6 linked regions of the Macaca fascicularis genome follow. The protein of the gene in region 5 binds, or shares a complex with, the protein of the main gene of each other region. Links are inferred from orthologs where the notes say so. Each region holds a gene or a part of one and is shown on either strand. Other genes may lie near its edges.

Region 1 (4,743 bases), on a different chromosome or scaffold from region 5:
AAGCAACATAGTGAGACTCCATCTCTATTTAAAAAAAAAAAAAAAAAAATTGGTCTTTTTTTGAGACAGAGTCTTGCTCTGTCACCCAGGCTAGAGTGCAGTGGCATGATCTCAGCTCACTTCAACCTCTGCCTCCTGGGTTCAAGTGATTCTCCTGCGTCAGCCTCCCAAGTAGCTGGGATTACAGGCATGTGCCACCATGCCCAGCTAATTTTTGCATTTTTAGTAGAGATGGGGTTTTGCCATGTTGGCCAGGCTGTTCTCAAACTACTGGCCTCATTTTCATTTTCAAAAATGAAAGCAACAGAATAACATGATCTATACAGTGGTGCACAACCCTTTGCCCAGCCCAGTGTAATAAGAATAAAACATGAAATAAATAAAACAAACAAACGAAACTGCTACTTGTCACCCTCTAGTGTTTTCTGAGACAGCACATATACCACAGTTGAATTCAGGCATATTGAATGTGTACATGATGTGACTGGTGACTACTGAAATAAGGAAGATGCTGAGCAAAGTAACAGCATTTAAAAAAAAAAAAAAAAAAAAACCCAGGAGTGTGATGGATTGAGGTAGTGAACAAATGAATAGGGTAGAAAGAAGGTAGAGAAGAGAAAGTATTTGAAGTGGCCTCAGGGTTTCAAAAATTCCAAGGATAATGGTGTTCCTGCCATCCACTTGTTGACACAGCTGGCAGTGTTCTGCACGCAAAAGTTTCTCGTTTTTACCTGGACAGCAGGTTAGTACAGAGTCACCCTCACTGTCTTAAGTGTTTACTGCTCCCATCAGCTGGTGTTTGAAGAACCCAGACGGCTCTCAAGCAGAGGATACACCCAGGACTGAGCCCCCTTCATTGATAGATACTCAGCATCTCAGTTCTGAGAATACCCACCTGTATTCTGTGACGCAACTGTTGAAATTTCTCTTTTACTTTAGTGTTCAGTTCAGTAAGAGCACTTAAGGGTCCTGAACAATCACGGATATCCTAGGAGACATTGAACAGATGAAAGGCCTTTCTTAAGGCAATGAAATGAAATGACACCATCCATACAGTGAGAGAGTTGGTTTAGACCAACTAATATTAATGTACTGATACTGACTATAATTCATCCTGATCTTTGCTGTTTACCTCTGCAACACAAGCAAAAACATTATCATTGGCATTTTTCTCATTCCTCTTTAGATTAATGTTGAATTAATATAAAAGCCTAGAAAGAAACACAACTGCTTTGACCTAATTTTTAGTGCCTAAATTTTAACAAAACATTACCTGGCCAGTATGAAAAAGCTTAAAACAGCTTATATGCCCAACAAGAATGGACATGCGAAAGTTATACTATAACTTTAGAACCTTAGATCCTTTCAACTTGTAAGATGAGGATGTTTAAAGATCTGGCCTCATATGATGAGATTAACTTTTTCAGTGTGATTTTACAAACCGTCAGTGATAAGTTAGAGTGTTTATATAAACATGTTTAAGGGCAGATTTAGAATCTGTTGCTGGACATTCAGAATTACTGGTGCCAGTTTTCAGAGCAGGCTCTGGAGACAGACCATGTGGATTCGAATCCTGGCTGTGGCAACTTATTAGCTGTGTAAAGTTACCTGGAAAGTTATTTAAATTATCTGTGTCTCAGTTTCCTCATCACAACCCTACTTACCTCAGAGAACATCATAGATTATGTGTGTATGTAAAGCACTTAGCAGAGCTGCTGGAACACAGTAAGGGTGCACTACATCCAGCTATAATCAATCTTTCTCATCAGCAATCACAAGAACCCAAATGTTAGAAAGAGTACAGAAGGGTGCCTAAGCAATTTAGATTATGTGAAAATGTGATTTCATTTGTATGAAACCTAAGTTTATTTTTCTATAACTGGCCCAGAAGTTTTGTAATGTATACATCAGAGAAGTGAAGTTCGAGAAGTTTTAAATATCTGCATCAAATTTCACTTTTTCTCTGGTTATTAATTTAATCACACTTCTTTGCACCATATTTGTTTATTCTGCATCTAATTTGGTTTATTCTGCATCTGGTTTATCTGGGGAGCCCTACTTTCCTGCACTTTTTGCCACCCCTCGTTACAAACTCTGAGTCTACATCTAATGTTTAGTGACTTTGTTGAAAATGATTTGCTTTAAAAACCAAGGTTTAGGCCGGGCGCAGTGGTTCACACCTGTAATCCCAGCACTTTGGGAGGCCGAGGCGGGCAAATCACGAAGTCAGGAGATCAAGACCATCCTGGCTAACACGGCGAAACCCCGTCTCTACTAAACAAAATACAAAAATGAGCTGGGCGTGGTGGCGGGCCCCTGTAGTCCCAGCTACTCGGGAGGCTGAGGCAGGAGAATGCCATGAAGCCGGGAGGCAGAGCTTGCAGTGAGTAGATCGCGCCACTGCGCTCCAGCCTGAGCGACAGAGCGAGACTCCGTCTCAAAAACAAACAAAAACAAAAAACAAAACAAAACAAAACAAAAAAACAAGGTTTAAAACTCTTGGTTTCTTTTTGCTAAACTCATGGAACCGTGTCTACATTCCTAATTCTTGTCTACGTCAACTCGTTTATTTTACCTCTACCCTTAAATGGCTTAAGGCGAAAACACCTCATTTCCTCTCTGTTCAAACGGGGTAACACTCTAAGGTGTTATTCCTAGGTTGACTTTCCCAGTCCAGGTCCCAGTTTTGCCATTGACCCAGGCCTGCCTTCTAACCTAGGCCTTGGCGCCGTACTCGATTTCCTCAAGCATAAAATCACAACTACGGTCCAGGTTACATTCGTTTCACCTGGTGCCTCCCGAGCCAGGTGCCCTTGGATGCCAGGGGAGCTGGCCAGCAGGGAGCGGGGCTAGCTGCCTACCGGGCGCTACCAGAGAATGGGGAAGCAGCGTCAGAGGGCGGGGCCAAGCAGGGTGGCAGGTAGGTTGTGAGGAGGTCAGGGGCGGGGCGACGACCAGGACTGCAAGTGGAAGTGGCAAAGCCGAGCCTCGAAGCAGTAGCTGGGTCAGGGGCGGAGAACAGTTGGGTGCTCTGGAGATGGGCGATCCGGCGGCACCCGGAAAAAGGATCAAGGCCAGCAGTCACGGGGATACAACCAAATGGGGACCAGGGCGGGTAGCCGGTCATGGGGCGGAGCCGGTGGCCTGGGAAACCAAGTGGGGAAAGTTCGGGAGTGACACTACCGAGCTCACAGACCAGCAGAGCTTGGGTTAGGGCTGCTGGAGCCTGGCAGGGGTCCCGGGATCAGTACCTGAATAAGCGCCTTCACCTCCAGGTCAAATTTGACAATCTCTTGGTTACAGATCCGGACGTGGACATCTTGGGGAGCCGCCATGTTGGGGACGCCGGTTACGGGCGGCGGCAGGGCCCAAGTTCAAACGCGTTTTCGCACCGCCTTCTCGCCCTCCCCGCCCAGTCTCGGGGCAGCGCCCCCTAGAGACCGGCGAAAATGGCAAGCTTGGGTCCCTGCCGCAGAGTTGGGACTTTCCCTGACACGTGTAGGGAAATCAGCCTCTCCTCTTGGTATGGCCTTAATACCATGGAGAGGAAGAGAAGAGGGAATATCAATAATGCTTCACAGTGGTCTCTTTCCATCTTCCTTCTGTCAGGCATTCTAATAACTATATATTTTTTGCATAGAAAAAAAGACTGGAAGAAAAGTATCAATTGAGATGTCTCTGGAAAGTACAAGTGACACTTTTTTGTTTCTTCAAACTTTCTTATATTTTTAATATTTTCTACAGTGAGTATAAATTGTGGAGTAAAAGAGAAAATGATAAATGTTATGTATTTTTTAAAGTATGGAGTTCAGTAGAGTCAGTAGAGTACTTCCTATCACTCCAACACATGATCTGAGGGATCTTTGTAAAACACGAAATTGATCAAGTCGCCTCCCTGTATGCAGCCCTTCTATGGCTTCTGGTGGTTCCCTTTTGTATACAACTGGATTTATTAAATCTACCTTGCTGGGGTAGTTTTGATGGATTTACGTAGTTTTGATGGATTTACGTAGTTTTGATGGAAATGTCAGAGGAAACCCTCAACAAATGGTGGCTCTTTTATTTTTGTTAGTAAATAATCCAAGTTTCTTAGCTGGTCCTCAAGGTCATCAGCCACCCCACCCTGCACCCTTCCTGGATTGCTCAAGCTCTTTCTGGATGTGTAGCCTTAGAATGTGGTGTTCCCTCTCCCTGGAAAGCTTTTCCCCGACTCGACCCCACTCCATCTGCTTTTGTTCAGGTCACTTCAGCAAGAATAGATTGTGAGGACCTAAATGCTTAGGACCTGAATGTTCATCTCTCTTAATCCTCACAACCACCCTTGAAATTGCACTACACTAGTATCACACTTCAGGAGATGAGCTGAAAGTAGATTAAAATAACCACCAATCAACCCTGTCGCAAGATTACCTATCTTGAAAGTGGCACAGCCTCTACTGAAAGCCATCTTTTCCCCAAAAAATCAATATGGCTCCCACCTGTTGTAAGCAGGGCTCTGTGCTTGTCTGTGTTCCTACAGGCCTCTACACACCCTCTCGTAAGGTATTCATCACCCCACTGCACCTAATAGAGAGGCAGTGTATCCCAGGCTTGGCATCTGCCTGGGCTCAAATCCTGTCCACAGCACTGCATGCCTGTGCTTCAGTCTCCTCAGAGGCTAACTGGTGATAATCAATAGCACCTACTTCACAGATTGGATAATTAAATGAGATAATACATGAAAAGCACCAAGCACAGTGTGCT
Region 2 (4,715 bases), on a different chromosome or scaffold from region 5:
TTCAATGCAATTTTATGAAACTTAATATAACCTTTACAACAATTCAGTGAGATGGAAATCTGGCATCAGGCATGTATTAGAGGAATGGAATGGAAGAACAGAAATTGAACCGGATTAAAACGCATCCTAGAAGTAACAGCAAATGCTTCAAGGAAGGCACTTACCAAAAGGCATACTATAACTTATTACATTTCATTAAGTCTGACAACCAGGGCTAAACCTGAATTAGAATATGTGCTTCTGGTATTGACCAGACTTTTCTGTATAAGGAATCCAGGCCAAACAAAATAACAGGCAAACTTTTGACACATCTAATCATAGTGAAAGCACAGGACATCCATCACTAGCTCTTCTAGTTAAAATTCCCACAAGAGAAGATGGGGAGTGGGGAATGGTTGGAAGAACAGGAGATAATACGCAAAGCAATGACAACACAAAATCAAAATTGCTTAAAAGAATGTATGTTTCCTCTACGTCAGGGGGACAGCGTCCCTGAACAACACAGCCCATGTACTCACTTAAGGTAATGTGACACCTACTCACATCAATACATAGCAGAATTGGAAGTTTCACTGTCACGCGGTCCAAACCTATGACATATGCACAAAGTTCTTCTCAAACATCTCTGAAAAGCAGTCATCACTCTGTTTAATTACTTCCAGTGACAGGGAACTCAGCACCCTACAGGACTGTTACTGTCCCTGAGGCCCATTAACTCAAAAGTCTAAAACACATTTTCACCACTCAGGGAGCGGTGGAAGTGATCACAGGGCTATCCAAAGGGCTTGCCAACTCAACTGTGCCTCTTGTCTCGACCATTCCCAAATCCCCCCTTTCCCTGAGCAGGACTCAAAATTAGCACAGTGTTCATAAATCAGTGGTTTCAGAGTCAGAAGGGACCCTTACAACGCCAATACTGTGATATTCATACCACGGTTCTACAAAAGGAACCCCAGGAAGTGCTTAGGCCAAACTGGGAGGGAGAGTATCCTGTTTCTCTTCCTCTCATTTCAGCCTAGGAAGCTTCCACTTTAATTTGTTATATATAGAGGACCAAGGTAGTTTTTTAAAAGGAGGAGGAGAAAAAAAAGGACCATTTACAGGTAAATAAACTGAGGTCTTGACACTTGCTTAATGAAATCATATAGCTAACAGTTGCAGGGTTCAGACAACAACCTGGTCTCCTGGCTCCTTCTCTGGTACTTTCTCTACCATATAACATCTGACGGCCTAGAGGGCAAAATTCAAACTCCGCAGTGATATACAAAGCCCTTTAAGATCTCTCCCGGTCCAATTTTTATGAGAGTCCCACATACCAGTCTCACTCAAATGTTTATTGAACCAACTTATATCAGACTCTTACACACCTCCACATCTTAGCGCATACTATTCTTTTAGCCTGAGATGCCCTTCTGCACTGGAGCCAACTAATCCTCTTTCAAGATTTGTTTTGGGCATCATCACCTCTATAAAGCCTTTTCTGATCCTCAGGTAGAACTGACCACATTCTTCTTTGTGCCCTACATAACACTTGCAAGGCTTTATGGCACTTGTTTTATGTCTATGTCCGTCTACTCCACTACTCCTTTTACATCATATTACTCTAACATGAGGCTGGTCAGAAAGTAGGTGCTTCATAGATGTTCATCAATAGGGAGAGTGTATTCATCTGGTCCAACCCCTTTCTGATGTTTAAGTATCCTCTGCTAACTGTCATTAATGCATGCATGCATACATTCATTCGAAAATATCTGAGTGTCTATGCAGTGCCAAGTGTATGCCAAGCAGAGTAGGATCTACTGTGAAATTAATGAGGTTTTAGCTTCGGGGTCCCTCACTTCCATCTTCCAAAGCTCTGAATCTCTCTTGGTGATTTTTATTTCTTAAAGACGGCAGACATAACTATAAAAACTTTCGGCCCCACAAAACCTAGATCCCTCCTTGGTGTCACGGACACAAAAGGGAACAAGACAAACATCTCTCCCCTCATGGAATTTTCTGTTTAACGGGAAAGACAGCCATTTTGTTCATTCATTCATTCAACAAACATTTACTAAGCAATGCTATGAGTCATGCATTGTGAGATGAAAACAACTGTCCCTGCCCTTAAGGAAAAGGTTCCTGTTCCCAGAGAGATGAAGGGACACCTGCTCTGATCAGGGAACAGAAAGTAGTTGAGATGACTGTAACACCGTGTTTGCGAAAGATGACCCTAAACTCGTCTCAAGAGGAACTGAGCCCTACTTATCGCGGAGACAAAGGGAAGAAAGAGTTCGGTTGAATATGGTTTTTAATCTCAACTGGGGATGGGAGGCAGACAAGTAAAGAGCACAGGCAAATACGGTGTGGTCAGTTCTGCAACAGGAAGTGAAGGACAGTGAGGTTTCCCGTGAGTGCAAGTCTGTAGTGACGGCGAACTCATGACCTCACAAAGCCGCCCGTGCACTTTCCAGATAGAGATTTCTGAGGGTCTCCTTCCTCGTCCCCCAACCCCCGCCGCCGCAGGAGAAATCTGTTCCCCAATATGCGTCCCCCTTCCTTAAAATAAGGCTGTTCCTTCCCCAAAAAGCTGTCCGGTCTCTGAGGCCAACTCTCCTGTCCCCCTTGGGGCCACCTCCTTCACACAATGCTTACGGGACGGGGTGTGGTTTGGGGCTCGGGGTCCCTGTCGCAGGACTGCCCCCTCCTCAACCCGCCGTTTCCATAGCAACCAGCTCACCACTTCGCGGGCCCGGCTGGAGAAGTCGCCCTTGGGCCGGGGGCTCCGGCGGAACAGCTCATCCCGGCTGCCATCGACCCCGCCGCCCACCGCCACTCCCAGCGCCTTGTTCCGCGTCTTCACGGTCTTGACGCTGGCCCGGAATAGCAGCGTGATGTCCACGGCCATAGCGACCCGTACCCGCAGACCCACACTGGGCCCGCTCACGTAAGCAGCCGGCGACCGCGGCGAGAACCCGGCCGCTGGAGGACTGGTCCTGCCCCGCACTCCTCCCCACCGGCAACTGCGATGCGAGAAGAAAGGTTCCGGCCTGAGCCCCGCTACCGCGGCGGGAGGAAAAAGGTTCCGAACTCAGCGGCGCACCTGGCGGAGGAGGAACCCCGCGACGAGCTCACGGGCACCTCTTTCTCCCGGCAAAGCTTGGAGGGTTTAGCAGTGCGGAGAGCTCAGCGAGCTTTCCTGTGCTTTTTTGGGGCGTGTGGGCTCCGGGAGCGTGAGGACCGGGAAGCTGGGAGGCTCCTTCCCTTCTGGTGGCTCCCTCACTGAGAGCGGGCGGTTTGGTTGCGGGGGACGTGGAGGCGAGCCACCCTTGACCTTTGACTGCAAGGACTCACCTTGAGCAGGACAGAGGCGCTTGGACGGTGACCCTCGGGGTGCAATAAGTGCTGAGACAGAGCAGATGTGCAAGGCATAGAGCTAGAGGCCAGAGGTCTTTCTTCTCCACCCTTCAGTCACCTCTGTAAAGTGAAGCCAGCATCCTCCCCGGAGTTTACTGTGAAAATTAAGTGAGCTGACGCGTGCTGTGTTTTGATGTTGCTTGGCTCCTAGTAAGTGGCCAATAAATGGTAGTAATCGTTAATAATGTTATTATTATAATCACTCGTATTTGTGGTGATGGAAGAGGCTGTAGAGAAAAGGCGTCACCTGTGCAGAGATTTGAAGGATGAATAGGAACTTTAGATGGAGGCAAAGGTGAAAGAGTGGCCCTAATGTCGCTGGATTCTGTTCTTGCTTCATGCATAGTTTTTAATTGTACCGTCTTGAGCCATAGCTATTAAAATTGACAAGTCAGTCAATGAGTTTCTTCTGCATTTTTGGTTCATGGTTCTGTTTTGTGTTGTTTTTTGAGATGGGGGTCTGCTATGTTGCCCAGGCTGGATTGCAGTGGCTATTCAGAGGCGCCATCCTAGCTCATTACAGACTGGAACGCCAGGGCACAAACGATCCTCCCCGGCTCCGCCTCCTGAGTAGCTGGAACTGTAGGCACTTGCCACCATGGCTGGCCTAAGGATATTCAAAATCTCATTGATTTCTTCAAGATTTTTTTTTTTCCATAAAGAGGATGCACAAGTAGAATGTGTATTAAAATAGTGGTTTTAATGGTCAATATAAAAATATTTTCATAATACTAAGATGTTATTTGCCTTTTCACTCTCACTTTCTCATGAGTTGCATACAGTTGAGTTTGCTAGACTGTGATATTGCAACGGAATAAATGCAGAACAGCTGTTTTCTATTAAGCCAGACTTCAAAAAAAAGATTTTCAAAAACATCAAAAGTTTTTAATTTCTCATATAGTGAATGTCGATAATGTCAATATAAACAAAAATTGTTTAGAGCCCTTAATAATTTTTAAGTGTGCAAAAGAGTTGAGACCAAAAGTTTGAGAACCACTGTGTTAAAGAAATAAAGTTTATGAGAAATAGATGTCAAGAAAGTGTATATTTACCAGAAAGGAGGAAGGAAAAGTTTTTTTTTTTTTTTTAGACGGAGTCTTACTCTGTCCCCCAGGCTGGGGTGCAGTGGCACGATCTCGGCTCACTGCAAGCTCCGCCTCCCGGGTTCACCATTCTTCTGCCTCAGCCTTCCCAGTAGCTGGGACTGCAGGCGCCCGCCACCACGCCCAGCTATTTTTTTTGTATTTTTAGTAGAGATGGAGTTTCACCGTGTTAGCCAGGATGGTCTCCATCTGCTGACCTTGTGATCCTCCCGCCTC
Region 3 (4,840 bases), on a different chromosome or scaffold from region 5:
TATCACCGCCTGGGTGACAGAGCAAGACTCTGTCTCAAAAAAAAAAAAAAAAAATCACATATTTCCGACTGTCCTCTTTGCAGGATGGAGAAAAAGGCTGGGGAGACAACAAACGTGAATGTAACTATCTTAGCTTTATGTTGCTATAACAGAATAGCTGAGTCTGGGTAATTTATAAAGAAAAGAAATGTATTTCTCAGAGTTCCGGAGGCTGGGAAGCCCAAGGCTGAGGGGCCTGATTCTTTCAAGGGCCTTCTTGCTACCCATGTGTCACCCTATGGCAGAAGGTGGAAGAGCAACAGATCAAGAGAGCAGGCAAGCAGGAGAGGGCTGAACTAACCCACTCTCTCAGCAACCAACCCACTCTCAGGATAACAATCCAATCCCTGAGGATGGAGCCCTCATCGTCTAATCATTTCTTATGGGTCCCACCTCTTAACACGATTAAAATGGCAAATAAATTTCAACATAAGTTTTAGAGGGGACATTCAAACCATAGTAATAATGAATTCAATTTTCTATTTTTCAAGCAATGTTCTTTTGCATTATTTAGCCTTATAGAAATGGGCAATGCAAAAATTAACTCAGTGCCAGGTTGAAAATGCAGTCTACTTTTTTTTTTTTTTTAGACAGAGTCTTGCTCTGTCATCCAGGTTAGAGTGCAGTGGTGCGATCTTGGCTCACTGCAACCTCCAGCTCCAGGGCGCAAGTGATCCTCCCACTTCAGCCTCCCCAGGAGCTGGGACTACAGGAACGCACCACAATGCCTGGCTAATTTTTGTATTTTTTGTAGAGATGGCGTTTCACCACGTTGCCCAGGCTGGTCTCAAAATCATTCAATACAGCAATAATCCTAACTCAGCTTCCCCAAGTGCTGGGATTACAGGTGTGAGCCACCACGCCTAGCCTGCAGTCTTTTCCTTTTTTTTTTTTTTCTGAGACAGAGTCTTGCTCTGTTGCCCAGACTAGAGTGCAGCGGCAGGATCTCGGCTCACTGCAACCTCTGCCTCCTGGGTTCAAGCAATTCTCCTGCCTCAGCTTCCTGAGTAGCTGGGACTACAGGCAACTGACACCATGCCTGGCTAATTTTTGTATTTTTAGTAGAGATAGGGTTTCACTATGTTGGCCAGGCTGGTCTTGAACTCCTGACCTCAAGTGATCTGCCCGCCTCTGCTTCCCCAAGCACTGGAATTACAGGTGTGAGTCACCGTGCCCTGCCTGCAGTCAACTTTTCAATCACATAAATCAGATCCCACAATGGTTCTGCACAATATATTTTAACTGCATCCCATCATATTTAGAAAAAGGCACAAGTCTTTCACCATGGTCCACAAGGCCCTACATGATCTGGCCCTGCCTACCTCTCTCCTTTGCTCACTTCATCCCAAACACATGGAACTTCCTGCTCTTCGTTGAACACACCAAGCTCATTTCCGCTTAAGGGCATTTGCAGTGCTATTCCCTCCTTCTGACACTCACTTCTCCCAGATTTCTGGTTTACTCCCTCTCTTCATTCAAGTCTCAGTTCAAATGCCATCTCCTCACAGAGGACTTTCACAACCGCCCTATTTAAAACTGAAGTCCCGAGGAAAGCGGATCGCTTGAGGTCAGGAGTTAGAGACCAACCTGGCCAACATGGTGAAACCCCGTCTCTACTAAAAATACAAAAAAAATTAGCCAGGGGTGGTGGCGCAACTGTAATCCCAGTTACTCCAGAGGCTGAGGCAGGAGAATTGCTTCAATCTGGGAAGTGGAGGCTGCAGTGAGCCGAGATCGTACCACTGCACTCCAGACTGGATGACAGAGTAAGACTCTGTCTCAAAAATAATAATAATAATAATAAAATAAAACTGAAGTCCCATCCCCTATTCCTTTACTCTTATTTTCCTGTATTCTTTAACACTGCCGCTTAATAGTTATATATTGTTTATCACCTACCCACTAGAATGGGGACGTGCATGTCTTTTTCACTGTAATTTGCAATATTCACCAGCACCTAGAACAGTGCCTGGCACACAGCAGCCTCACAATAAATATATATTAAATACATGCATTTCATTCTCACCAGAGTCATTCAATTCCTATGACCTTGAGTAATTCGTTGAGCAAACACTCAAGCTCTGATCCTTAAATAAAAGCAATAAAACAAAGTTTTGTCCTTGCCATCAAGTTCTACATATCCGGAGGCCAAGAACTATATATAGCAGGTCTTCCTATGGATCTAGGGCCGGAAAACTCTAGCTCCTCCAGACAAAACTTGTAGCAACCTGAACCATGAAATGAAGGGGTAGTAAATAGTCGCAGCAGTAAAAACGTTCAAAACAAGACCACATCTAAACGCCACCATAAGGTTTTAAAGGCCAGCTCTCTACCCTCCAATAACAGGTATATACCAACGCCCCAAATTATGACTCTTTTGGGTTTTTAACCCTTTTTCTGTGCTACAGATCCTCTGTCAGTCTGGTGAAAACTAGACCTGTCTTGAGACTAGTGCTTCTAAATGCATAAAACAAACAAAAACAGCTACGAAAGAAACCCACGCTACATTACAGGACCGCAGATGTAAAAGCCCCTCTGCTCTGTTTGCCGCAGTGGAAAAAAACGAGAAAATGTGGAAGGCCATAGAAGGAACCCAGGGAACTGAACCCCGCGTCCCTGGGCGCGTCCCCAATTCACTCTCAGTGGCAGGGAGACCCGGGGTTGCGACCCAGCCAGCCCTAGGGGGCGTGTCTGAGGACGCGGAGGAAGGAGACGCGGGCCCGGGTCTGGGAGGAAGGTGGGGGAAAATTCCAAAGCGCGCGGGGCCGCGCTCCCCACGGCGTGGCCCACCCGCGCCTCACCGGTCCCAGCAGTCCCCAGCAGCCGCTCGGGCACCCCTTGTAGGTCTTCATGGAGGCCGCGGAAGATCTCGTGCAGCTTCTCGAAATGCTCCGAGGAGGCGGCGGAGGCGGCCATGGCGCAGGACGCGCTCGAGCAGCGGCCACCCAGATTCGGGGCTCTGGGCCCTCTCCTAGCCCGGCGGTCAGCCGCCCAGTCCCGTGGCCATAACGGCGACCGCCGCACCACCGCTGCCCAGGACGAGGCTCTTCCGGGGCCGCAGAAGGGTCCTCCCGAGCCGGAACGCCCACCCTCTCTAGCCCGTGATTGCGGGAGCGCCGGCGCGAAGGCCTGACGGGAAGGCAGCAGACTGCGCGGCCTAGGCGACTCCTGAGGGAGCGAGCGGGGCGAATGGTAGTCGCAGAGCCCGAGAAGTGCCCGGTCCGGGGTGGGGAAAGGCCGCAGAGAAAGGGCCCTAGGGGACCTGCGGGACGGGCAGCTCGGCCGCCTTCCTCCTGGGCCCCGCCGGCCGGCCAGGGGCGGGCGCTGCAGTGCACGCCGGGGGATGTAGTTTGACTCGGAGAGCGTCTGGTGCCGGAGTCGCGCGTTGCCCGGGGTGCCAGGTTTAGCCCGCGAGGCGACAGCGGGCTTCGGCCCGATTTGATGTGTGTTTGCGTCTAGACGTCGTCCTCACTGTCATCGCGCTTTGCTTTGCCACCCTGACCCGAATTCCGCATTTCGCGTTTTGACCGAATGTTAGCTTTAGGCCCTGGAAAGAGCCGGGCCGGGGGCTCTGCCTGCAGTCGGGAGGTGGAGCACTTTTCCTGGAAGGCCCAGCGGCTCCCCAAGCTTTCAGAAGTGGAACTCGGCCGGGCGAGTGGCTCACGTCTGTAATCCCAGTACTTTGGGAGGCCGAGGTGGGAGGATTGCTTGAACCCAGTAGTTCGAGACCAGCCTGGTCACAATAGCGAGAGCACTACCGGAAACCCAAAATAGGAGCCGGGCAAGGTGGCGCGCACTTTTGGCCCCAGCTACCCCGGAGGCTGAAGCAGGAGGATTACTTGAGTCCACAAGGTTGAGATTGCAGAGTTCCCACCACTGCACTCCAGCTTGGGAGACTTTGCTCCCAAGTGGAGGGTGACCTTGTCTCCAAACGAACCCAAAAAACAAAAATTCAAAAGTGGAACCCAGTTAGGATGACCTCGAAATACTCTAGCTGCTAGGCTGCCTCGTGCACTTGTTCACAACAGGTGTTTGTCAAGCGTAGGCATTGCGAGGGATCTGGGCATGTTGGTGAATAAAACATTTACTCTCTGCTCCGGGGGAATTTATAATCTGGTGTGGAAGGTGGGCCTGGCTTCATTAGGTCTCATCTGCCACTAAGTGTCACTTGTTAACAATTACAAGGTCCTTTCCTGCACTCCATGGGTATAAATGCCGGTCTTCAGGTTGGGCATGGTGGCTCAAGCATTATCCCAGCACTTTGGGAGGCCGACGCGGGCGGATTACTTTAAGTCAGGAGTTCGAGACCAGCCTAGCCAACACGGTGAAACCCCCATCTCTGCTAAAATCACAAAAATTAGCCGAGCGTGGTGGTGGGCGCCTGTAAATCCCAGCTACTCGGGAGGCTAAGGCAGGAGAATCACCTGAACCCGGGAGGTAGTGGTTGCAGTGAGCTGAGATCATGCCACTGCACTCCAGCCTGGGTGACAAAGCAAGATCCTATCTCAAAAAAATTAAAATAAATTCTTATTTTCACCGATTTCACGGTTTGCTCAAGGTGTCTGTTCTCAAATGTTTGCTTGGGAGCTCAATTTTAAACTGCCTACAAATATTAAAAGATGTATGAATGCTCAGGAGAAAATGCTTTGCTAATTTATATCTCCTGGGCCCTCATTTTTATTAGATCAAGTTCATTGGCTGTTGATTCAGCACGCTTTGGTTGAGCTCTTAATATGCACTGAGCACAGACGTGACCAAGTCTGAGGTAACTGTCAGTATACTGTGTAAGTCCCACAACACA
Region 4 (4,908 bases), on a different chromosome or scaffold from region 5:
CCTTTCATGTTTCTGTCTCAGCATGCCTAGCTCCTTAAGGTCCTTCATCTTTTGCAGGTTTATCTCAAGTCTCAATTGAACTGCCTCCTCCTGTCAGGCAGGGACAACTGGGAGGTGAGCAGTTGGGTCTGGGAATGTGGGAGCTAAGGGCATAGATGTGAGGATCTCCCTATGAAGAGGAAAAGGAGGCAGCTGGAATGCAGACCTGGGACTATCTGTTTACCTGCCTGGTCACTTAATTTCTCTGAGAGGCATTAACAGTTAAAATCCTGAGGGTTATTGCCAAGAGCATGGATGGGGTTGCTTTCTGGGAGCAGGGAATAAAGGTGGTGATACCCAGAGGGATTATTTCTCAGCCAGGGTCTCCTTCCCTGTGGGTTTGTCCCTGTGCCCCTGACTACTTTTTCTTTTTTTTTTAACTTCTTTTTGTGGAGATGGGGTCTCCTATGTTGCCCAGTCTGGTCGCTAAGTCCTGGGCTCAAGCAATCCTCCTGCCTTGGTCTCCCAAAGTGCTGAGATTACAGGTGGGAGCTACCATGCCCAGTCCCCCTGACTCCTACACTTTCTTCCCACTCACCAGGATGAGCCCCAAGAGCCTCAAGAACCCAACAAGGTGCCCCTAGAAGACACAGAGACAGACGAACTTTGGGCATCCTTGGAGGCAGCTGCCAAGCGGAAGCTCTCGGATTTGGAGCAGACCCAAGGAGCTCTCCAAACCAGACGGAGAAAGAAGAAGCGGCCTGGGTCCACCAGCCCCTGACGCCCCTGTGCCTGCCCACTTTGTAAATAAACAGCTGAACATCCACCATGACCCTGAGCCTTTTGTGATGGGAGAAAGGAATGAGGGGTAGCTTGGGGTGGGGGCTCCCTGAGCTGGGGCGACGGGATATCTGATGTCACAAAAGCCGGGCCTGGAGGCAGGTAGGCTGGCGTGGGTGGCAGGGAGTCCGGGGCCCCGAGGGGCCATGGGCTGCTGCCAAGACAAGGACTTTGAGATGTCGGATGAGCAGTCCAAGGAGGCAGAGTCTGAGGCCGTCAGGGAAGATGGGACCAGAGGCACACACAGAGGGCCCAGGGAGTGTGAGAAGGGGCTTCCCGAGGGTAGGGGTGAGCTCAGAGGCCTCGTCGCCTCAGGCGCCGAAGGTATCGACTTGAACTCCCCGGACCATCGGAATCATAAGTCGAACGAAAGCCTTCTGATCACCGTGCTGTGGCGGCGACTATCCATGTTCAGTCGTCGGGGCTCCTCGCGGTCAAGCAAGAGACAATCAGACCAGATTAGGTCATCAATGTTCAGTGGTCGGGACTCCTTGCCGTCAAGCAAGAGGCAATCAGATCAGACTCGGAAACAGGAGCGTCCGATCCGAGAAGGCAACCAGGAGGAGCCGGAGAAGGGATGACCCCAGACCTGCTCTTAGTCAGCCCCAACCTCCAGAGAATAAAATTTCTAACGTGTACCTGCACCACCACTCTGGGAAACGGGCGCGGACACCGCCGGGCAGCTGGTTCTTTAAGGCTCCTCCCCGGAGGCGGGCCCAGCCCCCTGGGCTCCCGCTGTAGTACTCAGGGGCGGGGTCACGGCAGCGCCTTAGCCAATGGGAGGGGGGGTCGCTCTTGCGTTTGGATGTGGGGCGTGTCTTTCGGGTCGCCTGGCTTGAAAATGCGTGGGACCGCCCCCTCGTCACCGGGGGTGGGGTTACGTGTAGGTGACGTGGCCGCTTCCAGTCTGGTCGGGTTTCGGCGGCCTCAGTGCCCAGGGAGGAGGCAGTGACGGCCGGGGAGATTGGTAGTGGCGGCGGCGACAGGCAGCAGAGGGGAGGTAAGACTTGCTCTAAGAGGGGGTCTGGCCACCGTGTCAGCTCTGGGGCAGTGGTTTTACAGGGGCGACGACTGGCAGGGGGAAGGGAACCAGGGGCAAGCAGGCAAGTCCTGCCGGCCCGGCTCCTGGTGAGCGAATTCCTTGCCGTCCAATCAGGAAAGCCTCTGTTGAGAGAGACGTCGGCATTAGCTAATGAGTGGTTGAAGTCTTCCAGAAGGCGGACCTTGGGCGGGGGTGGGACTTCCTGTTTCAAATAAACACCCAGAGGTGTCCCCCTCCGCCCACCGAAGTGTGTCAGTCTTTGGAGGTCCGTCACCGGCCCCCCCCCGAGGGGCCGAAGGAAACCACGGAAACGAAGGGACTGGGTTAGGGCCCGGGGCAGTTACACGGGCCAGGCCGCAGTCTGAGGGCCACGGGACTTGGCTCTGGCCCTGTCTCTGCTTCAGGGCCCCCGGCCCGCGCTCTGGCCGCCGGAGCCAAGTTGGAAGAAGAGTCTGAAGCGGGTTCGACTTGGGACAGGGGAAAAGCAGAGCCCTTTCCGCTGCTGGCCCGCCCCAGGATCTGCGAGCGTCTTGGGCGCGAAAGTCCATGAGAAGTGCGGAAGGGGCTCGAGGATTTGTTGATTGGGGTGGGGCGGGGGAGTTTGGGGAAAGAAGCTGCCTGGGGAATGACACTCTCCCCTCCACAACAGTCCGAGGTTATGCGTCTCAATGATCCCGCGGAAACGCTACGGGTCTAAGAACACGGATCAGGGTGTCTACCTGGGTCTCTCAAAGACACAGGTCCTGTCCCCTGCACCTGCTGGCAGTAGCAGCAGCGACATCGCCCCTCTGCCCCCCCCAGTGGCCCTCGTCCCTCCCCCTCCCGACACCATGTCCTGCCGGGATCGGACCCAGGAGTTTCTGTCTGCCTGCAAGTCGCTGCAGACCCGTCAGGTAAGGACCTGGAGTGGAAAATGCGAGGAGTGAGCCATACTCAAATCTAGGAAGGACTGTGCTCCACCACTGTTAACTGAAGTAATTCTTGGGGGTACCTGATGGAACTGATAGGCTTGGATGGGGCCAGTAGGGTCTGCTGTAAGCAACAGAGAAGAGGTCGGCTGGCTAACTAGAGGCAAGGACTTAGACCTTTTTTTAGGAGGAATCCCTTGGAGGGCAGAAGTGCTATTCTGGAGGGAGTACTTCAGAGAGTACTTGGCTGTAATATAATTGGTGTGAATAAGGAACAAGTTCTAGGAAGAGCCTTTAGCTGAGAAACACGCACCTTGAATTTTCCAATATATTTCTACCATAAATTTGCTCTGTAACCATGAGAAAATTAATCTAGTTACATCTTAGTTTTTATCTCTGTAACATTAAGGACATTTTCTAGATCAGTAATTTGTTGTTTTTGTTTTGTTTTGAGATCTGTTTTCAACTCTGTCAACAGGCTGGAGTGTAGTGGCGTGATGATAGCTCACTGCAGTCTTGAACTCTTAGACTCAAGGGATCCTCTTTCCACAGCCACCTGAGCAGCTGGGACTACATGGATGCACCACCCAGCTAATTTTAAAATTTTTTTTGTACAGGCAGTGTCTCACTATGTTGCCCAGGTTGGTCTGGACACAAACACCTGGCCCTAGACCAGTAATTTGTATCAAAATAACTTAGGGTTGGATGTGGTGGCTCGTACCTGTAATTCCAGCACTTTGGGAGGCCTAGGCCACAGGATCGCTTGAGGCCAGGAGTTAGAGACCAGCAGGGGCAATGAAGAAAGACCCTGTCTCTACAAGAAAAGAAAAAAAAAGCTGGACGTGGTAGCATGTGCCTGTAGTCCCACCTACTTAGAAGGCTGAGCGAGGCCCAGTCTCTTTCTCTTTTTTTTTTTTTTTATTTTAAGAAGGAATTTCACTCTTGTCGCCTAGACTGGAGTGCAGTGGTGCAATCTCAGCTCACTGCAACCTTCTCTTCCCGGGTTCAAGCGATTCTTCTGCCTCAGCTTCTGGAGTAGCTGGGATTACAGGTGCCCGTCACCGTGCCCGGCTAATTTTTGTATTTTTTTTTTAGTAGAGACGGGGTTTCACCATGTTGGTGGGGCCGATCTTGAACTCTTGACCTCAGGTGATCTGCCTTCCTTAGCCTCCCAAAGTGCTGGGATTACAGGCATAAGCCACTGCGCCCAGCCTCTCTCTCCTTTTTTGGAAACAGGGTCTCACTCTGTCACCAAAGCTGGAGTGCAGTGGTTCTATCTCGGCTCACTGCAACATCTGCCCTCCTGGGCTCAAGCAGCCCTCCTGCCTCCAGCTTCTCAGTAGCTGGGATTATAGGCATGTGCTACCATGTCTGCCTAATTTTTGTTTTGTTAGTAGAGACGGGGTTTTACCATGTTGCCCAGACTTGTCTCGAACTTCTGTGCTCAAGTGATCCACCTTCTTCATCTTCTCAAAGTGCTGGGATTACAGGTGTCAGCCACTGCACTCAGCTCCTCTTAAAAAAAAAATTGGGAGTGCTTTCTAATTATTTATTTATTTAATTAATTATTTTTTTTTTTTTTTTTGAGACGGAGTCTCGCTCTGTCGCCCAAGCTGGAGTGCAGTGGCCGGATCTCAGCTCACTGCAAGCTCCGCCGCCCGAGTTTACACCATTCTCCTGCCTCAGCCTCCCGAGTAGCTGGGACTACAGGCGCCTGCCACCTCGCTCGGCTAGTTTTTTTGTATTTTTTAGTAGAGACGGGGTTTCACCGTGTTAGCCAGGATGGTCTTGATCTCCTGACCTCGTGATCCGCCCGTCTCGGCCTCCCAAAGTGCTGGGATTACAGGCTTGAGCCACCGCGCCCGGCCAGTTAATTATTTTTGAGATGGGAGTTTCACTCTTGTCGCCCAGGCTGAAGTGCAATGGCGTGATCTCAGCTCACTGCAACCTCCGCCTCCTGGGTTCAAGTGTTTCTCCTGCCTCAGCCTCCCAAGTAGCTGGGATTACAAACATGTGACACCATGCCCGGCTAATTTTGTATTTTTAGTAGAGACGGGGTTTCTCCATGTTGGTTAGGCTAGTCTCAAATTCTCGACCTCAAGTGATCTGCCCGCCTCAGCCTCCCAAAGTGCTGGGGTT
Region 5 (4,947 bases):
CTACACCACAGTTCCTATGCCTAGAGATGAACATGCTGCCTGGGCGAAACAGGTGCAACAGGCCCACATGGGCCCTCGACCACTCATGCCAATCACCACCACAGGCTTCCCCAGAAACACTGGCTCTGGGGCATCTGCTCTGCCTTGCCCCTTCTCCTGAGACCTTAAATATGCTCATTCCTTGGAGTTCCTTTTCCAGAGATACATCTGCTCTCCTGGTTCCAGCTGCACCCTTCCAAGATGCCCAAGCTGTTTCATCTTCAATCTGGGGTCCTTGCTGAGCCCTGGGCTCAACTACTCCAACCCTGACCTCTTGGTATCCTCCTCACTGGGGACACAAAGAGGGCCAGTCAGATCACTGCAAATCTCCTTACTAAGATATCACCCCAGGGGCCGTGCACGGTGGCTCATGCCTGTAATCATAGCACTTTGGGAGGCCAAAGCAGGTGGATCACTTGAGGACTTGAGGTCAGGAGTTCAAGACCAGCCTGGCCAACATGGTGAAACCTCATTTCTACCAAAAATATAAAAAACTAGCCAGGTGTGGTGGTGTACGCCTGTAATCCCAGCTACTTGTGAGGCTGAGGGAGGATTATCGCTTGAAGGAGGTGGAGGTTGCAGTCAGCCAAGACTGTGCCACTGTACTCCAGCCTGGGCGACAGAGAGAGACTCCATCTCAAAAAAATAATAATAATTTTTTAAAAAAAGATATTACACCAGGGGAGTTCCTCTTCAGTGTCGCCCCAGGGAAGTTCCACTTCCTGACTTCTTGAATTCCACCTGTGGGACTAAGGATGTCCCTGTCACACAGATAGCAAACCTGCCAGTCAATTTGTGACTTCTCACTCTCCTTCCCTGGGCAGCGCCATTAGCCACCAGATCCCACGTGAGTAATGTCTTTATCCCCTATTGAACCCTAACTCCTCATGTTGACTCCTAGAAAACACGTGTCCCAGCTGGGCGCAGTGGCTCACGCCTGTAATTCCAGCACTTTGGGAGGCCAAGGCAGGAGGGTCACCTGAGGTCAGGAGTTCGAGACCAGCCTGGCCAACATGGGGAAACCCCGTCTCTACTAAAAATACAAAAATTAACTCGGCATGGTGGTGTCCGCCTGTAATCCCAGCTATTCAGGAGGCTGAGGCAAAAAGAAAAGAAAACGTGTCCCACAGTCAAGCCTAGGTCTTGTCTGGGGTCAATAAGTAACTTCTTATTGAATGGAAGAAAATAAAGCAGGGTGTTATAACCGGACTGAGCATCAGGAGACCTGGTTTCCTGACCTTGAGCAAGTTCTTTCTCTCTCTGAGCTCAGGTTCCCCACTTGGAAAAATCATCCAATTGGACTCCATGACCTCTACAGGCCCTTCCTTCATACATCTGTCATCTACTACTTCATGAAACATTTGCTGAAATGTCATTTCTGAGAAAAAAAACCCACCTGGGTTTTTCTCATTCTTGTGTTGATGGAGTTATAGTTCTCATCAGCTTCCTCCTTCTGGGGCTCTATGGCTGTGGGAAGACACAGGGGTATTGGGGGTACTTGTCTCCATAGGATTTTTAGGGAAATATAATTTATCATAAAATGACTAAGGCTGAGCCTCCAAGAGGAGAAAGTAAGTTTATTTTTCTTTGCATTACATCACTTGAGTTCCCGTACGAATGCAGAGGCCACCTAACAAAACCCCATCTCCCTGCCCAAAGAATGCCCCAGTGGGCAGTGATAACTGTGTAAGTAAATGGTTTCATTGTAAATAAAAGAACCTGAGAGACTGCCTTGTGCTGTGGAGAGTACAATGGCCTGGAGGCCAGAAGACAGAGATGCTAGAACCAGGCCTGCTGTGTGACCTGGATATATCACTGGCTTCTCTGGGCCACACACTCCCCAGATATACCAACAACAGGGCAGGATCAGAGGGAAGGATCTGCCTGAGGTCCCAGTAGCTCACCCTTCAGCTGCAGGCGGATCTCCCTCCCCAGCTGTTTGATCTCGTCGCGCAGGTTCTGCAGCTCCTGCTTCATGCCTGAATAAGAGAAGGCCACGACTCCCAAACAGCAGCCCCCACCTCAACAAACCACCCTGGCCACCACCTGCGTGGAACTACAACCCCCACAATCCCTGGGGCGGAGCATGCGCTATGCAGCCGGGGTTTCACTCACTCTCCTCAGGAAGGGGCGTGGCCAGGATGGTGACCTGCTGTTTCTCCAACTCCTGGACTTTATTCCCCAGCTTGACAATAGTCTGCCGAATTGTCCGGACCTGGGGAGGGTGACCGAGAGGGCTGAAAGAGATATGGGGTACTCCAGACCACGCTGCTCCTCGGGTCCTCCTACCCCCTCGCGAATCCAGGCCAAGACTCCATCCCCTTACCTTCTGGAAGAACTCCTCGTCCGGGCTCCCCAGCCGTGCCGTGCCCGGGTGCACCACCAGCGCGACTCGCTCCTTGTCCTCTTCGTCCGAGCTGTCATCCCCCTGCCAGGCCCGGAGTCATTGGCACCACTGTTTCGCTGCGGCTGTCACCCCGCAGGACCCACAGGCTTCCGGGACTTTCCTTCCTGGCCATCAGCCACCCCTCCCTACCCCGAAGACCAGGAGTCCTGCGTTCCAGTTCGTCCGCGCGCCCCCATCCCCGCTGCCCTGGCGTCTCACCTGCCTCAGCTCGTGGGTCCTGTCCCGCATGGCGGCCTGAGCTCTCCCTCCCCGGCGTCAGACCGGGAGGCCGGCAAACTTGGAATACCCGTACCCCACTCACACTCTGACACTCCCCTCCCTCCCCCTGTGGACCCCAACACCCCCACGAGCCACCAGAGCCTCCGTCCCTTGCACCGCCCACAGTCAATGGGAAGGCGCCGACCCCGGGGACCCCCCAAGGTTCCACAGGTTGGAATTCCCTTTTCTTCCCCCCTCCAGCTCCCGCAGCCTCAGCCCCGCCCCTCCGTGATAAATTCGGGGCATGCGCATATGGTCGCGTCTCTTCCTCGCCCGAGGCGCGGAAGGTGGAGTCGGAAGTTATTGCGCCCCGAGCGGAAGCGGAGCTGCGTGGACGCGAGAACTGGCTACCGTCACCGGAACCGTTGCATCTTCCAACGGAAATCTGGTTGCCAAAAGGGGTAGGAATACGTCATTTGTACGTAATCTGAGGCACCCGCATCTCATATCACCCCATGGTGCCCCCACCGCGTCACGTGAGCAACCCGGTCCCAAACTCGTGGACCGCAGAATGTGACGCTGTGACTGTCACGTGTCCCGGCTCGGTCAGCGCCGTCTCTGGGACGCTGTTTTCATCACGACGTCCCCGGCACTCCGACCACCGAACGACGCCCACACGGCCCCCGCGAGGTGGGGAGGGGCGCGCCCACCACTCCCAGAGGCCTTTCGAGGCAGTGGGTGGTAGGACCCTTGCTGACTTCGCCTTTATTGCTTTCGGGTCCAGGGGCGTGGGCGGACTGACGACTTAGCATTTGGGGCTGTCAGCATCATGGGACCTTGAAAATCGGGAAATAATAGGATCCGAGTCGTCAGCGTCAGAAAATTGCAGGGTTGTGTGGGCAGGGAATCTAGGGGTGGAAAGTGACCTCAGCCAAGGCAGAAACCTCTTCTTCCGCATCCTCCTGGCGCAGCCTCTGACAGGTGGGCAGCCAGCCGGCGCCCTCCTTGAACACTACAGCCCGGCTGCACTCACCACCTTGTGGGCTGTCAGACCATGTCAGGGCAGCTCAGGCTAAGAAAAGTGTCTCTGCACGCTGCCTTCCCTGCCACTCACACCCCCCAGACCCTGCCTTGCATCTGAGGCAGGTAATGACTTTGTTCTTAACTGAATCTGGGGAGTTCCTAGCTCAGTACCAAGCACATTACGGGCCCTCTATAAATACTTGTGGACAGAATCTTAGCCTTTCATGTATCTGAGGATGAAGACCCTGGTTCCTTGGCCTTCTTTAGGCTTCAGTCTTTCTGACTGTGACACTTCTCTAATCCTGGCTATCGAGATATTCACTCATTTTTTATTTTTAAAAATTTTTACAAGATGGGGTCTCACTATGTTGTCCAAGCTGGTCTCTAACTCCTGGGCTCAAGCAATCCTCCTGCCTCAGCCTCCCAAACTGCTGGGATTACAGGCATGCACCACCATGCACAGAACATTCATTTAATGGATATTTTTGGGCACATACTATGGGCCAAACACTGTTCTAGGGCTGGAGATACATCAAGGACTAATAGATAAAAATTCCTGCACTCGTGGAACTTAAATTCTCTAGAAGGAGTCCCCAAGGTCATTTAGTAAGTCTCAGCATAGCTGGGAATGAATAACGGGTCTCCTGGACCCCAGGGCTCTGTCCAGGAAGCTTCTGTGAAGGTACAAGCAAGGAAAGGAATGGACCCTTTCTGCTATGCCCTGGTCAGGAAACCTAGATTCCTGGGACTGGGTTGCTATGGACTTCTGGAAGTTGCTTCCTGTCTCTTAAGTGTCGATCTCCCTCTGCACAGTGGGTAACTTGGGGGGATGGGGAGATCATCTTTATGGGTATGGGCTGCTCTAAACTTCAGTGATGATGAGGTTGGAAACTGTCAAGTGCTGTCTGATTCTATGTGAGGATTTTTGGCTCTTCTCTTCCTGTTAAAACCCAGCTCTAGCAGGGTGCGGTGGCCTATGCCTGCAGTCCCAGCACTTTGGGAGGCAGAGGCAGGCAGATCACCTGAGGCCAGGAGTTGGAGACCAGCCTGGCCAACATGGCGAAACCCCATCTCTACAAACATACAAAAATTAGCCAGGCATGATGGCAGGTGCCTGTAATCTCAGCTACTTGGGAGGCTCAGACAGGAGGATTGCTTGAACCCGGGAGGCGGAGGTTGCAGTGAGCTGAGATCACGCCATTGCACTCCAGCCTAGGCGACAGAGTAAGACTCCATCTCAAAAAAACAAAACAAAACAAAACACAAAACCCAGCTAGTAG
Region 6 (4,961 bases), on a different chromosome or scaffold from region 5:
GTCTAGTTGTTTGAACATGAGCCCAGCCCAGTGGACAGGGAAGGCCCAGGGAGAGGTGGGTAGGGAGGGTATCCTGCAGAGGCTGGGGACAAGGAGGATGGCACAGAACGCCATCACAGCCAGAGGAGTCTGGCAGGGCTTGGCAGAGGCGCCAGAGTTACCAGCAAGCTAGATGGCAACAACTGATAGCCTCTCAGGAACCTTCTTGTGTAGACCCACAATGGCTCCCCGGCCCTGCCTGCTTTGCCTGACTCTGAAATGCCAGAGAGGCCCATTTCTAGGTCTGTTCTTCTGAAAACACATCTCTGGTGCTGGGTAGATTCTGAATCCTGAGAATACAAGTTTCTGCTCCTGGATACACAGTCACAGGACCCAGAAGGATCCCACCCAGTGGCTAGGCCAAGGCTGCAGTCCACTCCTTCATCCACAACCCGTTCTCCCCAGGGGTCTCACTTCATCCGCAGGACTGGAGAGTAGGCACAGAGAACTCACAGCAGGGTGGCCCGCACTGGTCTCCTGTGCTCAGCAACCATGGCCAGGAGTAACTGCCATCTCCAGGCTGAGAAGCCTCAGTTGGAGGAGATAGCACCCACTTAGGGTTCACAGCCCCTTCCTGTGTCAGTTCCAGGAACCTTGGATCACAGACATGGCCTCATCCAGACAAGGACACGACCGTGGAGCCTTCAGATGTCAGCGTCCCAAGAGCTGGGAGAAAGGCTGCAGGCCACAGGTGGCCACGCCTGGGATTCAACAGTTGCTCTGCTCAGACCTGGCTCCTCCAGACACGCTGCGGCCCCAGCTCTGCTTGTGTCTCTAGCATCTGGGGAAGGGGGGAGGGGCTGGGCCTTGGTTTCCCCGAAAGAGTCCCTTCCACACATGGGACCAGCCAACATGAGCTCATCAGGTCACAGGCAGCCGCAGCCTCCTGCCACACAGAAAGGATTCCTGGCCCACGATTATAATTTCAAAGGAGTACTTTGCAGGTAAGTCCTCTGGAGCCCAAGATGCCAGGCAGGGAAGACAATGGCTGCCCTTGGCACCCACAGACACCAGCTCCCACTGTCTCACGTCCTTGCCCTCGACAAGAAGTAGGAGAGGATGAAGAAGGCCACAATCAGACCCACAGCCATGCCACATAGAAGCTTCCGGTTGTCTCGTCCGGACCTTGCCATTGCGGAAAAGCGCTTCACACTCCCTGTAAGCAGGCCGGTCATGCTTGTGAAATCCGAGTCCTAAGGGAAGAATCCCGGCAAGATCACACAGAAGTGGTGATTTGACCACCCACCCGCACCAGTGCTGAAGGAGACACTGCAAGCTCTGTAGCAGGTAGTGCTGGGGGCAGGGCACTGATTCGCGCACACCGTGGGCCCTTACCATGCCATCCAGGTACCGGTTCTGATCCTCTGCATCCCTATCGATGTCCAGGGCGAGCTGTTCAGCACACAGAGAGGGCAGGGTTGGGCCAGAGCAGACACATAATACAGCACTCACCCTTCCCAGACCAGACAAACCCTGCCAACAACTCTGCCAGACACAGTGGGGCAGCAGCAGGAAGGTCCAGGTGTCAGCTGGGGCCTCATGCAGGTGAGCACAGCCACGAATCGAACGAGGAGGACGGCAAACTGCCTGAAACTCCTCTGGGCCCTCTACCTTCCCTCTGATCCCCATTCCCCAAGGGCACCAGGTGGAGGTAAGAGGACAGACCACCACTGACCGATTTGAGCCTGGTGACTTTGGAGGCCAGGCTGTCGGCCATTCGCTTGTTCTCCCGGTCTAGAATCTCTTCCACAGCGCCCGGGCTCTGAGCTGAGAAAAGAGAGGGGCTGAGTGATTGCATCCATCGGGGAGCGAGGCCTCTGACCCCTCTCACTCCAACCACAACTGGGTGAGTCAGAAATCTAGGGGCCCTAACCTAGGTTCCAGCAGGTGAATCTTGCACATGTGAGAGAGACTGCATAAAGGACGATGTGTGCAAGGGCCTGTCATGTGAACACGTGTCCTGTGTACACATCCAGGTGGGGATGGGCCAGCACCCACAGTGGGTTCAGTCCAACCAGCACCTTCTGAGACTGTGTAGCAAAAACTGGGCCCAGCTCTGGGATGTTAATAAGATGTGACACTTGCATCCAGGGAGGTCGCCATCTGTGTATGTGGAGCCCATTCTTATAGAAAAAGAGTAAACTCTGCTAAGAGCATAGGAAAGACTTGGGAAAAGTACCCAGCAGGGCAGCAGAAAGGCTCCTGCAGGGACGACCTTTGAGCTGGGTCCTGAAGAGGTGGCAAGGAACCAGGACAGAACATTGGGAAGGCCCTTTACCGCACAGAAAACAGCTGAGCAAAGTTCCCAATTCCGCGAGATGGGAGCTGAGGTCGACCAGGAGCGTGATCCCTGGTCTGCATCCCACACAGGGCTTCCTGCAACACCCAGGGCACAGCGCTTGCAGAGGCCCGGCCTGTGACAGGCTGGGCCAGGTGATAAGGAATTTCTGTCACCTCAGGTGGGTGAGAACCACCTTCTCCCTAGCTTCAACGTTAAGGAAGGGATGCCAGCGTCCTTCCAACCACTTCCTGTTCATTAATTCCTTTACTCATCATAACTCAGACAGGCATCAATATCCCACTTTGCAGAGAAGAACACGGGCTCCAGGAGGGGAAATGGGGCCACCGAGGCCCAAGTTAGTTAGCAGAGGCCTGCCTGGACACCAGCGGAGCACAGCCTACTCCGAAGGCCTGGCCTCGGGACCTGTCGAATGCCGAGACTCCCGCTCACCCTGAACCCATGCAAAACGATCTCACAGGGAGCGGCGGGGAGTGGGGGGACCCCGCAGCTGCGCGAGCCCTCGCTGGAGCTGCTGGGCCGCCCCGCCCGCCGTCCTTCCTAGCGGCAGTGCTGGCCGAAACCCGGCCCTGCTGGGACCCGGAAGGATCCGAATCCGCCCCCCTGACAGGGTCCTCCCCGCCGAGGCCAGAGGCAGGCGCACGCGGCTCTACAGGCAGCGGCGTCGGTTCCGGCCCGGCCCTGCCCCCAACGGCTCCGCTCTCCCGCGCTCACCCCGAGCCCAGTCCGCCATCGTGCCCTGCCCCGGCTCCTCGACGCCAACACCGACGCGGCCACAGCCGCCTCAGACGTGGCGCAGTCACGGGGAACGGGCTTCCGGCCCCGCCCCCCGCCAGCGATGGCCCCGCCTCCGCGCCAACCACGCCCCTAGATGGCGTCGGGCTCGCTGATTTCCGGCTTAGGCCCGAGGGTGGGGAACCGCGGGGTCGCGGAAGCGATGGGCGTCGCTGTGACTTATTTTCAGCACTGTCGCCCAGGCAGTGGCGCGATCTCAGCTCACTGCAGCCCCCGCCTGCCGGGCTCCCAAGGTGCTGGGATTACAGCAGCACCGCGGATGTGACGTTTGTTTGTTGTTCCTGTGAACGTGGGGCGGGGCGGGGCCGTTTGCTTGCTCAGTGCCAAGACGATGGTGGTGGAAAGACGCTGCCATGCGTTAGGTCCTAACGGTTAGGAAGGATTCACAGGCGGGTCATGAGGGAGGAGTAGGCCCCTCGGGCAGAAGCCCGCGAGGAGCCCTGGGTGTGGAGGGGGCAAGGGTGCCTCCTCTGTCAAGTGGAGATCGGCGCCTCGCTAGTGCCTGCGAGTGCGCGCCGCGTCGAATACAGGTGTGCGGAAAGCGCTACAGGAAAGTGAAGCAGGGAAAGAGACTGGGAGGCGGCACGGGGAGTGGGGGCCGTAGACGCCTTTGCTCCCGGGCACTTGTTACAAGAGCCAGTGGACCGCGCTTCCTGTGCGTCACTGAATCCTCCTGATGGCCACTGAAACGGACACGCAGGATCTTTGCTTGTCAAGAGGGAACTGAGTCCAGGCCAGACTGCGTTGCTCCCCTTTCTCTCGGCCCCTCACGGCCCTTCCACCTTTGCAAGTGCTGCTCCTTCTGCCTGGAGTGGCTCCTCCAGTCTTTTCCCGGCTCGCTTCCCATCGTCCAGTGTTAGCAAAAACACCACTGCCTCACAGCCCTTGCAGCCCAGCAGTCACCTTTTGCTTCTTTTGAAGCACAGCCCTGTGACCGCCTCATGTCCTTTTGTTTTTCCTTGTCTGCCTTCCCCTCTGGAACATAAGCTCCACAAAGGCAGGGGCCTGGGAGTCCCGTTCGCTTGCATTCCCCAGCAAACGCCTAACGAACCCAATGGCCCGGGACTGAAAAGTCCTTTCCACTTCGGCTTTCCCGTCTACATCCCATCGGTTCTGTGGAGCTCGAGGGGCGTCACTGTGTGTGTGGCAGGGCGCGGTGGGGGCTGAGATCCTTTCCTGTTGGAAATTCCGGCCCAAGAAGCCCCGGTCACAAGGAGGGGGATCAGTCCGGTTCAGGGCGACTTGGCCCGACTCGGGTCTTCCGAGCCGCCAGTGCTGCCTCAGGCCGCGCCCCCTTGAAGCGCCACCAGACGCCGCGTCCCGTCCCGGCCTCCCCCGCGCGCTGGCGCGGGGCTTTCTGGGCCAGGGCGGGGCCGGCGAACTGCGGCCCGGAAAGGTTGAGGAAGGGCCCGTCCCGCCTTCCCCGCGCCGGGTTCCGGGGGCGCCATGGAGCCCCGGGCGGTTGCAGAAGCCGTGGAGACGGGGAAGGAGGATGTGATTATGGAAGCTCTGCGGTCGTACAACCAGGAGGTGAGCGGCCGCCTGAGGCCGGGGGGCGGGCACGGAGGGGGTGGGGCAGGGTCGTGCGCGGGTGGTCGGGACGGTGTGGGTGAGGCAGGGGTTGTGTCAGCAAGCAGAGGGGACGCGGCGGCGTGGGGGTGGCACGTCAGGGATGCAGTGTTGGGGGGAGAGTGTCTGGGGTGCACCCGTTGGGTGGCAGGTGTGTAGGGATGGGGGCGAGTGTAGACCCTGCCACCCCTTCTGAGCAGTGGCTGCTGCCTGAGTTAGAGGCCAATAGGCCGCCCCCCGTCAGCGGGCGCGGATACTG

Evidence for each region.
Region 1: STX4 (region 5) and BNIP1 share a complex: the UniProt entries of both Homo sapiens proteins name them as parts of the SNARE complex. The link is inferred for Macaca fascicularis from reciprocal best matches to the Homo sapiens genes STX4 and BNIP1.
Region 2: STX4 (region 5) and STX18 share a complex: the UniProt entries of both Homo sapiens proteins name them as parts of the SNARE complex. The link is inferred for Macaca fascicularis from reciprocal best matches to the Homo sapiens genes STX4 and STX18.
Region 3: STX4 (region 5) and VTI1B share a complex: the UniProt entries of both Homo sapiens proteins name them as parts of the SNARE complex. The link is inferred for Macaca fascicularis from reciprocal best matches to the Homo sapiens genes STX4 and VTI1B.
Region 4: STX4 (region 5) and STX5 share a complex: the UniProt entries of both Homo sapiens proteins name them as parts of the SNARE complex. The link is inferred for Macaca fascicularis from reciprocal best matches to the Homo sapiens genes STX4 and STX5.
Region 6: STX4 (region 5) and BET1L share a complex: the UniProt entries of both Homo sapiens proteins name them as parts of the SNARE complex. The link is inferred for Macaca fascicularis from reciprocal best matches to the Homo sapiens genes STX4 and BET1L.

What each region holds. Positions count from the first base shown.
Region 1 is NC_088380.1:179,966,497-179,971,239, reverse strand, and holds the start of BNIP1 (vesicle transport protein SEC20), read right to left. Parts: upstream 3,348-4,743; 5' UTR 3,336-3,347; coding exon 3,252-3,335; intron 989-3,251; coding exon 896-988; intron 1-895. UniProt on the Homo sapiens protein: As part of a SNARE complex may be involved in endoplasmic reticulum membranes fusion and be required for the maintenance of endoplasmic reticulum organization. Also plays a role in apoptosis.
Region 2 is NC_088379.1:8,513,389-8,518,103, reverse strand, and holds the start of STX18 (syntaxin-18), read right to left. Parts: upstream 2,972-4,715; 5' UTR 2,888-2,971; coding exon 2,720-2,887; intron 1-2,719. UniProt on the Homo sapiens protein: Syntaxin that may be involved in targeting and fusion of Golgi-derived retrograde transport vesicles with the ER.
Region 3 is NC_088381.1:135,576,582-135,581,421, forward strand, and holds the start of VTI1B (vesicle transport through interaction with t-SNAREs homolog 1B), read right to left. Parts: upstream 3,110-4,840; 5' UTR 2,956-3,109; coding exon 2,841-2,955; intron 1-2,840. UniProt on the Homo sapiens protein: V-SNARE that mediates vesicle transport pathways through interactions with t-SNAREs on the target membrane. These interactions are proposed to mediate aspects of the specificity of vesicle trafficking and to promote fusion of the lipid bilayers.
Region 4 is NC_088388.1:11,216,325-11,221,232, forward strand, and holds the start of STX5 (syntaxin-5), read left to right. Parts: upstream 1-1,683; 5' UTR 1,684-1,819; intron 1,820-2,265; 5' UTR 2,266-2,414; intron 2,415-2,510; 5' UTR 2,511-2,529; coding exon 2,530-2,754; intron 2,755-4,908. Other genes in the region: WDR74 (WD repeat-containing protein 74), read left to right, coding at 58-114, 581-760; TEX54 (testis-expressed protein 54), read left to right, coding at 894-1,400. UniProt on the Homo sapiens protein: Mediates endoplasmic reticulum to Golgi transport.
Region 5 is NC_088394.1:29,213,580-29,218,526, reverse strand, and holds the start of STX4 (syntaxin-4), read right to left. Parts: upstream 2,933-4,947; 5' UTR 2,675-2,932; coding exon 2,645-2,674; intron 2,468-2,644; coding exon 2,366-2,467; intron 2,277-2,365; coding exon of another isoform or gene 2,255-2,276; coding exon 2,155-2,254; intron 2,019-2,154; coding exon 1,944-2,018; intron 1,507-1,943; coding exon 1,436-1,506; intron 1-1,435. UniProt on the Homo sapiens protein: Plasma membrane t-SNARE that mediates docking of transport vesicles. Necessary for the translocation of SLC2A4 from intracellular vesicles to the plasma membrane.
Region 6 is NC_088388.1:85,484-90,444, forward strand, and holds the start of BET1L (BET1-like protein), read right to left. Parts: upstream 3,149-4,961; 5' UTR 3,072-3,148; coding exon 3,053-3,071; intron 1,807-3,052; coding exon 1,715-1,806; intron 1,432-1,714; coding exon 1,375-1,431; intron 1,233-1,374; coding exon 1,065-1,232; 3' UTR 1-1,064. Other genes in the region: RIC8A (chaperone Ric-8A), read left to right, coding at 4,580-4,663. UniProt on the Homo sapiens protein: Vesicle SNARE required for targeting and fusion of retrograde transport vesicles with the Golgi complex. Required for the integrity of the Golgi complex.